2 linked regions of the Lytechinus pictus genome follow. The protein of the gene in region 1 binds, or shares a complex with, the protein of each later gene. Links are inferred from orthologs where the notes say so. Each region holds a gene or a part of one and is shown in the gene's direction. Other genes may lie near its edges.

Region 1 (7,544 bases):
ATATGCATTAAGAATAAAAACTAATTCTACAATAAATTCAACATATTTATTTTTTCCAGTGTCAAATATCAACATGAAAAAGAGATTTTCCAAATACACATTGGCATGACATATCGATTAGAAATACCTAAAAAATCTATTTTTAGATATTTCTAATCGATGTGTCGATCATGCGGTCTCATGCCCCCCCCCCCCCCGCCACTAGATTATTAATCAATAGAAGAAACTGTACACACATGTAAAAAACAATACAATAAATTATAGTCTGTTTTAGATGAAAGAATGAAAAATAAACGTTAAAAACAAGCAATTAGCCGTCAAACAAATAACATTAACTTTACATCTCGCTCCCGCGCCCGGGATCTTGTTTTTCTCCTTTGACAAATTCATGCACACACGTGTCGCCCTAAGCCCCATTTCCAGCAAGCTAGCCAACACTCATTGTGAGTAACTTGTGACATGACAGCAGATGACATGAGAAATTGAGAATGAACGTTAAGAATATTACTTAGAAAGTAATTAGCGGGAAAATTATGAGGAACAATTCATTTTATGATAAAAATTTCTTGAAAACTATCAGAAAACGGTATCATGTAAAAATGAAAGGCTACGTCGGACCCAGGTCGCACCGCGGACAATTCAGTTCTAACATACATTGTAGCATGCATGTCCGGCTCAGCTAGGCGCGCTGGCAACGCTAGTGTGGCTGCTCAGGCTTGGCTGGCTGGCTCGCCGGCCGGCTGGAAGTGGAAATGCGCCAGTTTCTACGCATGGATATTTTCCGGTCATCAATAATAACATCGTAGTTTGTCTGTTGCCGAAATGATTCTGAAACATCCTTTACTTTTGAGGATTGATGATGAATGATGCAACAATTATTTCCGATGACTTTTCCCCACTTTTTATGATTTTTTAAAATTTTTTTTAATTTATTTTTTTGCCTGTGTCGCTCGCGTTTTGCACGTGACGCATATAGAGCTTGTGGAATTTACGTGTGTCGCATGCGACGCGTGTGTTCTACACTGGCGAGAACGTTGGTAGCAACATCTTCACATTTTCTGGTAGCCAAGTGGTTTATCTATCAATGTGACATGTTTCCATGGCAGCTCACAGAGGCTCAAACAGTCTAGGTCAGCATAAAGACTTAAAAATGCCAATTTTCAGCCACTAGCCCACACAGCTTATAGCCTAGGCTAAACTAATATGGGGATGGGCCAAAATGCATTTCCAGACACATTTTATAGGGCATTTAACTATTAAGCCTTATTTTTCACTATGTAGGAAATTTTATGGTAAGTTTTGAGCAATGTCTTTGACAATGATGCTAATAGGTAATGCTTTTTTAGTAGAAATGCCATTTTGTTTTTTTCGTTGTCCTACCTAACCATATTATTTTCTGAACTTAGTCTTAGATTATGTTAGAAGCTAGTCCCTAGTTTATTCTTTTTATTCAAATGAACTGTTGTTGGACAAATTCAGGGCCGGGTATGTGCAGTTACACATAATTACACTGATTATGTTGCTATGTCTTTGAACAGGCTTGGCTATTTTTTTTTCTTCCAATCAATGACAATGGTGAATCATAATGGATCACAATTTGTTTTGACAAAAAATGAAAAATACTAATTTACAATCATTATCAAAATTGGGCATGTTGGGTAGCATTTTGAAGATTGAACATGGTCATGCGAGTTCAGAAACAAAGTCTTACGTCCAAACTTCTGCCTTGCTTTAAATATTTGGCTAAAAAAAGAGAATAAAAACAAAACAAAACAAAAACACCCGTTCCCCAAGGCAAGACAAGTCCACGACGCGTATTCGCCACATTCAGGCTCTAGTCTACTCTTGAAGTTGAACTCCGCCGCTGCGCCGGCGGTGGAACTTCGACTTTTGCCATGCCCCCACATGGCCCAGCGCGGCGGCCACCCACGGGCACGGGAATGCCGTCATGGCCGTTCCCGTCGCTACTACTGGTCCATTAATTCATCACCTCATAAAATCTGTGTCGGCTGTAATGGTTGCTCCTGGTGTTACTAATCGTTGAGGTTCTGTAAATTCATCACAAACTCGTCTTTCACGAGGAGCGGTGATGGATATTGCCATTTTCCTTCCCAACTTTCGTGCACAAATAGGTCAAACGTACTGGCCTAACTAACTGAGCTAGTCAACTGAACATGCAGACAATTTTAATATGACAGCAGCAAATTGGTATCTTTCAATCGCGAATAGGAGTCATTTCGTCTGAAGTGTGGATGTCAAGTCAAAACTATTCAAATTTATTGTCAATCATGCTCAAGTAAAATAAGTGAAATAAATCAACAGAAATGTCAATGCGATTCCATAAATTTCAGTTAGGTTTTAAGTAAATTTTATCTCGCTGTGAAGATTTCAAATGGATTTCCCCCCTATTTTGATTGATTAATGCTTGCCAAAGTCTCTTTGGGCCAAAGAACAGGGGAGAACAGTATATATGAGTCGTGCTACACTATTATTGCAGCACTTCTGTAAATTTAGTTGGTATGGTATAATGTATATCATTAGGCTTCTATTACCAAATTGACACATAATAAGCGATAATCACAATAGGTTTGACCAAATTCACCTTCATTCTTACAAAAAAAACCACGTTAATTCTTTAAGCCTGTCAGTCACTCTAAAAACAAGTTAATTGTTGAAACTTTTTAACAAAACTTGTTTAGAAAGTTTAAACAGTGGTTGTTAGAGTGACGGGCTTAAACAAAGTGCTTTCAATTTTAAACAGCGTTTTTTTACAGTCATTTTGTTTCTTGTTTTGTTTTTTGCTTGTCAATTTTTTCTTAATATAGAAGCAGAACCCCTCTTATAGAAAATCGGTCCCAGCCCAGGCCCCTCTCCCCTTTAATGTTTTATTTAGCTATACGTCCATTATTCATCAATTGAGAAATTTGAGGGGCGTCGCACCTATACTGCTTGACTTCATTTTTAAGTTTTTTTTATTTGTTTTGCTTTCATAATCTATTTGTTTATTAGTTTGATTCAATTGACTTATTCGAAAATATGAAAGACCGAATGAATTAACTTCTTGAATGAAAACAAAAATGAATTATCTCTTTGCTTATGCACTAGGGGTGGTGGAGCAAAGTTATAGGGGGCACAGGGGAAAAAGGCACCTTTTCTTTTCTCTTAAAACAAATAAAAATGATTCATCTACAGCCTAATGGGGCAACATTTTTGAGGGGGCTAGATATATCACGTTAATTTATAAGAAGCTGCGATTTTTCCATTATATTCAGCAAATAACACATTTCATTGCTTCCATTCATTTCATAATACGTTGTATCATATCATTTCTTTTATTTCCTATTGGGTGTGGACCCAAGACCCCCCCCCCCCTCCGTCCCCGGGCCTGTATACGCCCCCTGCCCCCGCCTGTTACGCCACTGCCACTCACATAGCTTAAGGCACGTAGGATTATCCTTACAAGTTTTGTATATAAACATATACATATAAACAAAAATTAGAATAGTTTTCTTGTTTCAAAGGGGCAATCGATCGTTAACTAAAATCCATCTCATGTGAAAGGGGCAGTACAGAACATGTTTGTGTGCATGGGGCACTGATACGAGATAGGGCACTTACAAGAAGGCATTTCTAGGGCCGGGCACTTAATTGCTCACACATAAAACGGGCCATATAGTCAAGGGACATAAGCAAGGGCACTTTCTCGCACATAAAACGGGTCTTTCTATTAAGGTGAAAGGATCACAGAACACGTTCAAGGGGGTGCATTTTTGCTTTAAAAAATTGATTGGCACTTATACGAGAAAGGGCACTGCACCTAAAACGGGTCCTCCTCAGGTGAAAGGGGCACAGAACACGTTCGTGAGGGGGCATTTTCGTGCGTAAAAAGGACACTTTCAGTGCTTCAAAAAGTGGGGGGGGGGGGGGTACACGTGCCCCCCACACCCCCAGGATCGCCGCCCCTGTTATGCATGATTATATCACCTAGTGAAGTTTTAGATATGACAATATATAAACTGGAAAAAACGATAATGTTTTGCAAGGCTTTTGTTTCCATTTAAAATTAAATTTCTGGAGGATTTTGGAGAAAGGCATTTGTATTATTATTTTTATTTACTAGGGGCAGCGCTGCTGCATGCATATATGTTCAAGTTGACCCCTAAATCCAAACTCCTCATGAGTAGGCCTGCTACTACTATTGAAAAATGAAATAAAGCCATCTTGATCTTATCCTTTATTTTCAAAAGTGAATTGATTTATTTTATTCCCGGCCCCCGTTGCTTTTAATTGTGTGGTACTTGATATTAGTATATAATTATCTCTGTTGATTGCATAGAGATATATACTAATAACGTAATTAGTATACATCTCTATGGTTGATTGGTAAGTTTGGTATCATCATGGACCTACTAGCTAGTAGGTCCATGGTATCATACAGTACTTGACTTGTAAACGTTATTGCGCAATGATGAGCTACATACAGCTCTATATTAATCGATAACTTTAGTTGTATACCGGTACCTTTCGAGTTTACTGAGACTGGAGTCCGTTTAATGAATGTCACTCATCAAACACATACTATTAAAACATAAATGGCCTTGACAATTTGTAATAGACCTACTGTGTTCAATAGGTTCAGTAGGACGACGCGGATGAAGAAAAATAGGAATTGCACTTGGAGTATCTTTCGAAATTTACATCAAAATCAGCGAAAGGGTAAGTAACGCGCAACGCCAACGGCCTACTGCCGCGGCTGCTGCCCGCCGCGTCCCCGGCCCCGATTGTGCTCGCCCGCTCTCTGAGCGCGAGCTTACTCGGCAAGCTCGCGCCGAATTATTGCTTAGCGCCTCGCCTTCGGCTGGTGCGTTTGCGGACAAAAGCGTGGGCCCGGTGAACGTTCAATCAATTTCAATCCAATCCAAAATGATTTTATTTTCTGAATCTTTAAAACATACGAATTCATATTTGATATGCAGATAAGGGAAACAAAGTAAAAAAAAAAATGAAGCAGAAACAAAACAAACTGAAAACATAGACAAAGGGCAAGGTGCAAAAGAGTAACTATTGCTGTTCCCCTTTTCAGTCGGTCTACTCTAGTATGGCAGTGTATCCTATTACCGGACACCTTTATTTCAGTGCTTTAAAAATGACAACTAGAGGAAATACAATCAAGAAATTTTCACACTTGCTATTCCAAATATTATGAAAATTATGAATATGATAAAATTATTTTATATTTACCAACCATTTTCTTTGCATCGCACTTGCCGCATACCCCTCCACGAAAAACAATTATTTTCATGCGCGACAAATTACATCATGATTCCGGACGCGCGCCGGACGGGCAAAGATATCCTTGATTCTAATGATGTAAGAACAAATTTTTTTGATTTTTTTCTTCTTATATCATATCATGAGTAAATTCTAAGTATTATTTGCTTTTTTTTATATCGAATCTGAGCAGATGTTGGTAATAAATTCGTGTTTGATAACTTATTTTATTTTGTCTTGTTAGCTGCATGTTCCATGGCACTTTCCAATAATAATATGCTCGCGTTCGTATCGTGACGCTCATCAAGTTCTATCGATGCGCTGCCGATCGACGGCTCTAATCACGGTAAACCTCGCGCACGGGTACCTTGAGAACTAGCCGTCGACGGTCACCCACAATACACCACACCTCATCATTCGATCGAAGGAGTGGACGAGATTGAAATTCGGCAAATCAAATCAAATCGGCAAAATTTCATCATCGGATGTAAAATAAGAAAGTCCACCTCAAAAAAAAAATGTTGATTTAAATTTTAAATCAATAGAGGAAAATCAGATTTATCATAATGCTGGAAATTTCATCACAATTTTGCACAATTAATTTAGTCACATGCAAATGAAAGAATCAATGTTGTCCCTCGCTATTTCTTTTGTTTTTTATTGTTTGAATTATACGATATTTCAATTTTTACAGATTTGACAATAAGGACCAACTTGACTAAACAATAAAATGTTAAACAATGGTAATTCCCCATGTTCAGTGAGGAATAAAACTTTGTTTCGCAGGACAATGAGGAGAAAATAGGAATATTTTTGTTATTTCGTATAAGAAAATACAAAAGAAATAGTGAGTGACAGATGTCATTGGTTCCCTCATTTGGATACCAACCAGATGTGCATATAACTTTTTTGTGAAATTAAGCAAAACTTTAAAATGTCATGACTTTCGTATTTTACATCAGATTTTGATGAAATTTTCAGTGTTACGCTTGTTAGATTTTTCTCTTTTTATTCAAATCAATTCTTTGTTGGGGTGGAATTGTCTTTAATATTTTGAAGTCTTGCTTAATTTCACAAAATAGTTATATGCATATCATGGTCGGTATGCAAATGAGATGACCTATGATGTCATCCACTCACTATTTCTTTTGTATTTTTTATTATCTGAAATATTCTAATTTTCTCATTATTTTCCAATGAAACAAAGTGGCATTCATCCCTGCACATATATGCACATTTCATTTAAAAAAAATCCTTTTATGGTTCAGTCAAGTTGGCCCTTATTGTCAAATCTGTAGAAATTGAAATATTGTATAGAATTAAATTCAAACAAAAAATAAAAGAAATAGTTATAGTGAGTGAGGTACATCATTGTCTCATTCATTTGCATATCACCGAGTTGTGCATAGATAAAACTGTTTTGTGAAAAATAAGCAAAAATTTAAAATGTCATAACTTTCGTATTTTACATCCGATTTTGATGATATTTTCAGTATTGTACTTTTTTTATTTTTCTCTATTTTTCAAATCAACTTTTTTCTAGGGTGGACTTGACCTTTAAGTTTTGGATATGTGATGTGATATATAAGCAGCTGTCCCATATGTTATGTAAGATAAAATGCATAAATTTAATTTTTCTTAATGTTTCGTGATATTTTTTGTTTTTTTAGGAACAGGGGTGAAATGATTTGTCTATTGATATAAATCGAAGGTACAATAAAAACCATTTCCAATTTTCGGAAAAAAAATACATTTCAATGATTTTTTACCATATGATATGTAGGAACGCTGTATAACCAGTAGGCCTAATAACCAGTAACTTATTACAAAGATAGAAGCACTGTAGTTCCTGTCAGATGTTTCTTTGGGTTCAAAACCTTCACTTTCTTGGCTACTGGCATCTTGGTTGCCGCCTTGGGTGTCAACTTCTTGGCAGGGACTTTCTTCTTTGACAACCTTTAAAAAAAAAATTTGTTGAAAAGTTGTCGGGATTTTTGTTTTCTCTCCTTATCAGTTTTTCCAGGTACACCACTTGGTGGCAGCCATGGCCAGAGAAGTGATCCAAACGTTGATGGTTTACTGTACGAACAGCACACTCCCACTACTCCATTACAGAAGGTGCTACTGACGGCAGGCTCTGCGTTCATGTCTCTATATGACCCGTACAGACATGGTGAGTTCTGCCACACTCAAACCGACTCCACACCGACAAAAGAAGTACAAATCATTGGTCGGTTTGGAGTCTGTTTCATTGATGTGAATGATTGTAGCAG
Region 2 (7,963 bases), on another chromosome or scaffold:
CATGTCAACATACATTAGAACGAATGAGTAGAAGACGAGATGATGAGATGCGAGACTTTGAAATCGTTCTGATCATACTCTTCAACATATCGCCAACTGCCATAACGGAAAGATATTTTCAGCTGATAAGCTCTAATTGTCCAGAATGTAGAAAAGACGATCGAGATCCTGATATTAGACATCTGGATAGCTCGTTTAACGCTATCCAGCCCTGCATGAAGATGTTTCTTGCCTCCCCCTCGACATCTTTACCAAAATAATAAATCTGTAACGCGAAAAGATCGCGCCGCGACGTTTCATGACTGTTTATCTTTAAGTCTCGCGCAACTTTTAAGATCGAATTCGCGACGCGAGGGTACATGGTTCCGAAATAACGTATTTTGTAAGTGCATGTTAGACCCAAAACCCGGGGGACACTTAATTGACGAGTGGATACCATGCGCAACCATGGGGTCTCGAAAGCACCCTAAACAAGTATTTTCCATATTCTGAAAATGCACCCCTTAAAAAGTATTGGCGTGTGAAACCCTACCCTTAACAAGTATTGGAAACAAAACGATACCCTTGACAAGTATTCCCTGAAATGAACCCCTTAACAAGTACAATGATATTTTAATTTCTATATATCACGGACGTCGGTTTTACCTTTACCTACATCATATACGGCCCCACCTCGCGCAAGTCGGACTCTAAGCACGTATAGTGTTAACTGTTGGGGCAAGAAGTACATCCTTTATTTTTTAGTCTTTTTACCCTCACAAATTTGACCCTAAACACGTAGCTTTCCTAGCGAAATAGATACCCTTTGTCATTATTTTAGTATTTTTGACACCCTTATTATGTATACGTTCGTAACGTGCCCTATCGACATCCTTTTTACGTGTTTTTTTTGTTGGTCGCGCATGGTATCCACACGTCAATGTAAGTGGCCCCCGTGACCCAAAATTGCTCAAAAATGTGACATTCTAGTAACGTACAAACCCAATCCAAATTATGTAGCCAAAACTCCGATCTTGTCATGTTATTAGAAGAGATAATCATTTAATGTCAAGATGTAAAAACTACGACATAGAAGAACTTGTCAGTTGATATAAGAGCAGATGATTAGATGACAAGCTGCTGAGATCCATGATATTGTCACCTGATATCATTCTCTTCTTCAGAGTGTAGACATGATGAGAGCTCGGTCGGTTCTCATGTCAACATGAATTCATGAGTTATATGACAAAATGGTAATGAAATCCGAGATCTTGTAATCTCATCATCTCTGTAGGCCTATGTTAATTGGTACAACGAGATTTGAGATCTTGTCAGCTGATCTTCGATCTCTTCTTCAGAATGTAGATATGTCGAAATCCGAGATCTTGTCAGCTGATCATTTCTTCTTTAGAATGTAGACATGACGAGAACCGAGATCTGTGGTTTGGACATCTTGATTGAATTTGAAGAATCCATAGTTACGATAGAAGAGATGCAGTATAGAGCTTTGGCTTTGATCGCGTCATGTCTACATCGTTTTTTCTTAGAACAGAGTGATCGGGGGAGCGTTTCATGAAAGGACCGATGTTTAACTGACGAGTCCCGACAGTTACCATAGTAACAGTGCTTCTCAGCCAATCAAATCAAGGGAAGTAATAAGATCTGACAACTTGTCGGACAAAAAAAAATGGTGAAACACTCTCCAGCTGACAAGTTTTGGGATCTCGTAATGATTGTTTACATCTCGCCATTCGATAATCTCTTTGTGATTCGCATTGAGAGTTATTATTATTATCAGCATCATTATTATTATCATCATTATCATTATTATTATCGTTATTATTATTACTATTATCATTCTTGTTATTACTATTATCATTATTATTATTATTATTATTATTATCATTATTGTCATTATTATTATTATAACTTATTCGGCAAATAATACAAAAATACATTTCAGTATAAACAATAAAACATAAGAGTTTGCTTTATTGCTTTAATGTACAAGCTCTGCATGCTTTTCAGTTGGTCATCATTCCCTCTCAATTCATATTTTATTTTGATAATTGTCTATTGTAATTATGTTAATCTTGTATGTATACTCCAAATGTAATATGCTATTATATCAACTGTGAAATAATTGTATTGGAAGTGGACAATAAAAACGATTGAATTGACTTGAATTGAAGTCATATTCATACTTTTAATGATTCATCATTGATTTAATTATTATGATTTCTAACATTGTAGTTATCGATGTTATCTGAATAAACAAATGTTATTCATGCTATCAAATATATTGCAGATTCAAAACAAATTTGCTGATTGGTTGAAATCAATTGAATTGAATTAACACGACTTGTGAGATCTTGTGTTTGATCATGGCTGTGAGGAAGGATATAACCCTATTTGTTCATGTTCTCTTTAAGCGATGATAAAAAGAAATTCTTTGGGAAATTTTACGACGGCCACTTTCTCTTCGACACTATATGGACCATGAACAAACGAAATCTCTTCGAGGGAAAGAATTCCCTTTTCCATACGTATCAGAACTCTGACTGTCGAAAGTTTTAGGATTAGAATTTGGATTTTGTTTTTCGAAAAAAAGAAATGCCGCTTGCTCTGGACATGCTGGACGAACTAGTTGCCTACGTCACGTATAACCTGTTGTAAGATGGGCCTCATTTTCTTCACGAATTCCTGTTTAAATAAATGCCATTATTCATGTCGGCTTATATCAAACATTTTCAGCTCGCGCTTCACATTCACGATAATCGTATAGCCCTATATTGACCCATTTTCTCAGGTCGGATTATTATTATTTTTAAATCAACCACCGCTTATCGCTTGCATTATTTGAATAATAATCCCACTCGAGAGTCCCTGTTACTTTTGAGATATGCATCCCTTTTTGTTCTATAGGGGTTTAAAACGTCCTGTTTTTACATGTTTTAGGTCGGCATCTAAAAAAAAATCAGCTGGCGCTTCGCTAAAGCATGATTTGACAGTCCTTATAATTTCAGTGTATATAAGAATAAAATTCGGTTCACGCATCGCATATCAGTCTTTATAACCCACTCATCCACATCCGTCAGAGCTTTTACCTCTTTGGCGACCGATCTGAACGGTGGCAATATCTTTTTACCCCCCCCCCCCCTCTTGCTATGAGGGTGCGCATCAAAATAATGCAAATAAAACCACATGAAAAGTGGACACCATTGAGGAATATGCCTTCAGGTGAATCCTATAAGACTCGAAGTTGTTGTGATAAACATTATACAATGTATTCCGTTATAAAATCGGTGAAAACATATCACGTAGGGCCTATTTCTCTTCTTTCTTTCTTTTTTAGTTGGGGTCGAAACATAAACTCATAAGATACAAACATGAAAACTGTAGAATATCCCATTCATAATAGACTCCTATGATGAAGGGAACAGTAAACCTAAAACTGTATCGGTCTCTGCATCATCGATTGCCTCAACGTTGGTTCCACAATACTGGAAATCTGGACCCCATATAAGAGTTGCGATTGATCCGATCAACCAAAACTATGGAAAGCCAGCAACATCAACAATGCATGTTTGCTCTTGATATGCCGTAAATTCATACATTCTTTGATTTCTTGAAACTTGAAAGTGGCTTAATTATCTTTGTTATTCAAAGGACATTATGCAAAGATTTTGTTGAAAAAATTGTGACATCAATGGATTTCCATACAGGTGAGGTTGATCGGATCAATCGCAACTCTTTGTAAGACGGACACCAGGGCCCCGTCTTACAAAGAGTTACGATTGATCCGATCAATCGTAACTCTATGGAAATCCATCAGTGTCATAATTTTTTCTATGAAGAATTTGCACAGTGTCCTTTGTATGCAAAACGAAGCGCAGTGAATTTTCAATAAAACAATGAATGCATGAATATACATCATAGCTAGAAAATATTTTGAAAAAACATGCATAATAGTTGTTGACGTTGCTGGCCGTCCATAGTTGCGATTGATCCGATCAATCGTAACTCTATGGAAATCCATCAGTGTCATTTTTTCTACAGGAAATGTGCAAAATGTTCTTTGTAAACAAACGAGAACACACCGAACTGTCAAGAAATCAATTAATTTATGGATATACATTCATATCTAGATTTTTTGGGGGGCAAACATGCATTTTATTTACTTTACTTGCTCTCCATAGTTGCGATTGATTGGATCATTCGTAACTCTTTGTAAGACGGGGCCCTTGAATGGGAATGAGGATGGTAGGGGGATGGTAAAGACAGAATGGTGACTTGGAAAAAAAATTGATGCCTTTCTCATTTTCATGTAAAGGCATACGGGGCAATTTGGGCATTGCCAATTCGCCTAATGCCGGCCAACTCGTCCACTCACCACATGGTTTACCTTCATTTAGTCTAATGCCATTCCGTCCATCAACATTTCGTCTAACAACCATTTGGTCTAATAACCATTTGCTCCAATCATCACTCCGTCTAATCACCATTTCGTCTATTACCATTTCGTAACCAGTTGGTCTAATACCCATTTTCTTATCATTCATTTTGCACAATGAACACTTAAGTTTAATTAGACCAAATAGTATATGGACTAAATGGCTATTGGACCAACTAATTGTTATTAGACGGAATGGCATTATAGACTAAATGAAAGTAGACCATGTGGTGAGTAGACGAACTGATGATGGACCAAATGGTAGTAGACGAGTTGGCAATTGGACGAATTGGCATTAGACGAATTGGAAATAAACCGGGGTCAAACTTTTTTTTGGGGGGGGCGGGGGCTAATTTCTGCCGCCTCTGAAGTTTGAGCAAGGGGAATACCCTCTTAATTTGCGCATGCGTACAGTCTATCTTACATAATAGAATTTTGTAATCATTACAAGACCGGACGAGGGAGCGGCGAGACTCTAATTTATTCGGTATGTTGTTGCTTGTTTTTATATTCTTGTATTGTTCATATTTAAAGAAATGAAAAATAAAATTATGTAGATATTTTTCACGGTTTAAGACGAAAGTCATTACCTCATAAAGTCCGATTAATTGTCGATTGTCCGAGACGAGTCGAGTACCAGCCGGCAGCCAAACCTTCCGTCTTCGCACTCGCAGTACCGGTACCGGTAGCAGTAGTAGCTAGCCCGTTAGAAACGGCGTACGGATGAGTGGCGAGGCCGCTGATACCAATCCAGTGCGGGTGGTGATTAGACTAGAGTCTATCGTCTACTTACCAAAGGCTCCCTGAACATGTGGAATTACCATTCTTTAACATTTTATGGTTCAGTCTTGGTCCTTATTGTCAAATCTGCAAAAAAATGAAATATTGTATAATTCAAACAAAAAAGAACAAGTATGACAAAACGTCAAAAGAAATACAGAACTATTTCTTTTGACTTTTTTGTCATGCTTGTTCTTTACAATAAAGCAGCTGGGGTCAGTTAATGAACACCACTGCTCGATGATTAGAATTATGTAAATAAATAGGGGTGGGATCAACAAACTCACCAGGCAAAATATGACTTCTGAGGAGCGTTGTCCAAGTTCAAGTTCTGCCAGTCAGCCATATAACTAGTCAAATCCACCGCAGCATGGCCGGTGACGTCACAATTATAGATTGGGGGAGGGGTACATCGCTACTACATCGCTACTACAACAATATAGTCTCATGCAATGAGACTTGAGAGAGTCGATGATGTCCCTCACCAATTGAAATAGTGAGTGAGGGACATCATCGACTCTCTCAATTGCATGTGATGTGACTAAATTGTGCATCGCTCTAGTATAACTATTTTTTGAAAAATAAGGGAAACTTTAGAATGTCATAACTTTCTTATTTTACATCCAATTTCGGTGAAATTTTCAGCATTATGCTTGTCTGATTTTTCTCTGTTGATTCAAATCAACATTTTCCTGGGGTTGATTTGACCTTTAAATAAGTTAAGTGGAAACCAATTTAATGTGTACTATTGCCGGATGTGTACGCACTCTCAAAGAGTCAAAGTGGTATCGAAAGTGGAAGGCGATCTTCCAAACCAGCTTGGTCCTTGGAAAATCACCTCTCACTTTGCCACATTAAACTGGTTTAAGCGTAGGTGAGAACACAAGCCTTCCACACAGCCACACACAGATATATATGCACTGTCTTAAGATAATCATTAATTAATAGACTAGGGGACATTGGGATCTCAATAAGGTTTAAAAAAGCTGCCAGAGTAAATCAGACTTTCAAGCACCATTGTACAAAATCCACAGATATTTGTTCAAAATTTTACCTTTATAGATATAAATTTTGATATCGTATCATTTAAAGAAAGGTAGCGTTGTAGGCCTATATACAGACCCAGTCAGCAATCTTTGAGCACCAGAGATTACACTCGAGCTAGAACAAAGGAAATGGTCCAGTGAATCCATTGTTCTACTATCGTTCTGGCTTGGTCACTCTATTGTTCTGGGCCCGAGTGTAGATTCAAGTGTAAATGTTGATTCGATGAACTTAGGACCTGGGCATAGAAATAGATGGCGTACTTTCATTTGATGGGCATAGAAATAGATGGCGTACTTTCATTTGATGCTCATATACAGAAAATTGTTTCAAAAGCTAACAGGCTAGCAGGCTTGGTAAGGAGGTCATTTGTTTTTATCGATGAAGATATGTTTTAGAGTCTTTTTAAGGCTTTGGTTTGGCCTCATCAAGATTCTAGAGTATGGCCATGCTGTGTGGAATCCATACAAAGTAAAACACCTTGATGCACTTGAGAATGTGCAGAGACAAGCTACTCGCTGCGTCCCATCTTTGAAAGGGCTCTCATCCTGAGAGACTAAAGAAGCTATATTTGCCTACTCTTGTTTATAGACGAGCTAGGAGTGACATGATAGAGACCTTTAATATTCTTCACAAATATGACCCTGATGTTGCCCCATGTCTGCAACTTAATTCTTTTACCAGAAAAGGGGTCATGTGCACATGCTTTTCAAGATGAAAGCTATAAGGTTGAAAAAAGCTGCCAGAGTAGTCAGACTTTCAAGCACCATTGTACAAAATCCACAGATATTTGTTCAAATTTTTACCTTAATAAATTTTGATATCATATCATTTAAAGAAAGGTAGAGATTACACTCGAGCTAGAACAATTGTTCTGCTATTGTTCTGGCTTGGTCACTCTATTGATCTGGGCCCGGGCGTAGATTAGAGTGTAATTACACTCAAAGACCGCCACTGTAAGTGTAATCTAGAGCATGTTGATTTGATGAAGGACCTGGACATAGAAATAGATGGCGTACTTTCATTTGATGATCACGCACAGAAAATTGTTTCAAAAGCTAACAGGCTAGCAGGCTTGGTAGGGAGGTCTTTTTTTTCTGGATGAAGATATGTTTAAGAGACTTTTGAAGGCTGTGGTTCGGCTTCATCTAGAGTATGGCCATGCTGTGTGGAATCCATACAAAGTAAAACATATTGATGCACTTGAGAATGTGCAGAGATGACCTACTCTTGTTTATAGACCAGCTAGGAGTGACATGATAGAGACATTCTCCACAAATATGACCCTGATGTTACCCCATGTCTGCAACTTAATTCTTTTACCAGTACAATGGGTCATGTGCACATGCTTTTCAAGATGAAAGCTATTAAACAAGAATACACATAAGAACTTTTTTTACATTGAGAATCTGTAACTTATGGAATAGTCTTCCCGAGCTTGTATTGGAGTCTAAGGATGTATTACAATTTGAAAAGAGGATTTACTTTTGGTGGCGTAATGCATAATTTAAATTTGATTATAAGGTTCCTCCCCCGGACCGCGCCAATTCTTTAGACGTCACAGTGAGCTAGACGTAGAGGAACAGAGGTTCCTGCATCCAGAATTGAACCAAATTTAACCTTATGATATCTACACTGCAATACACAAACTAATTTCACTCAAAACAGATCATGATTGAAATGAGAAAAAAAATCATGCCACTTGAC

What was found. Proteins that work in one complex are often made in the same cells at the same time.
Region 2: ubiquinone biosynthesis protein COQ4 homolog, mitochondrial-like (region 1) and 5-demethoxyubiquinone hydroxylase, mitochondrial-like share a complex: the UniProt entries of both Caenorhabditis elegans proteins name them as parts of the multi-subunit COQ enzyme complex. The link is inferred for Lytechinus pictus from reciprocal best matches to the Caenorhabditis elegans genes coq-4 and clk-1.

The regions. Positions count from the first base shown.
Region 1 is NC_087259.1:10,557,885-10,565,428, forward strand, and holds the start of ubiquinone biosynthesis protein COQ4 homolog, mitochondrial-like, read left to right. Parts: upstream 1-4,513; 5' UTR 4,514-4,592; coding exon 4,593-4,716; intron 4,717-7,285; coding exon 7,286-7,444; intron 7,445-7,544. Other genes in the region: exosome complex component RRP4-like, read right to left, coding at 1,991-2,103. UniProt on the Caenorhabditis elegans protein: Lyase that catalyzes the C1-decarboxylation of 4-hydroxy-3-methoxy-5-(all-trans-polyprenyl)benzoic acid into 2-methoxy-6-(all-trans-polyprenyl)phenol during ubiquinone biosynthesis.
Region 2 is NC_087254.1:33,609,430-33,617,392, forward strand, and holds the start of 5-demethoxyubiquinone hydroxylase, mitochondrial-like, read left to right. Parts: upstream 1-4,868; 5' UTR 4,869-4,919; intron 4,920-7,963. UniProt on the Caenorhabditis elegans protein: Catalyzes the hydroxylation of the 5-methoxy-2-methyl-3-(all-trans-polyprenyl)benzoquinone at the C6 position and participates in the biosynthesis of ubiquinone.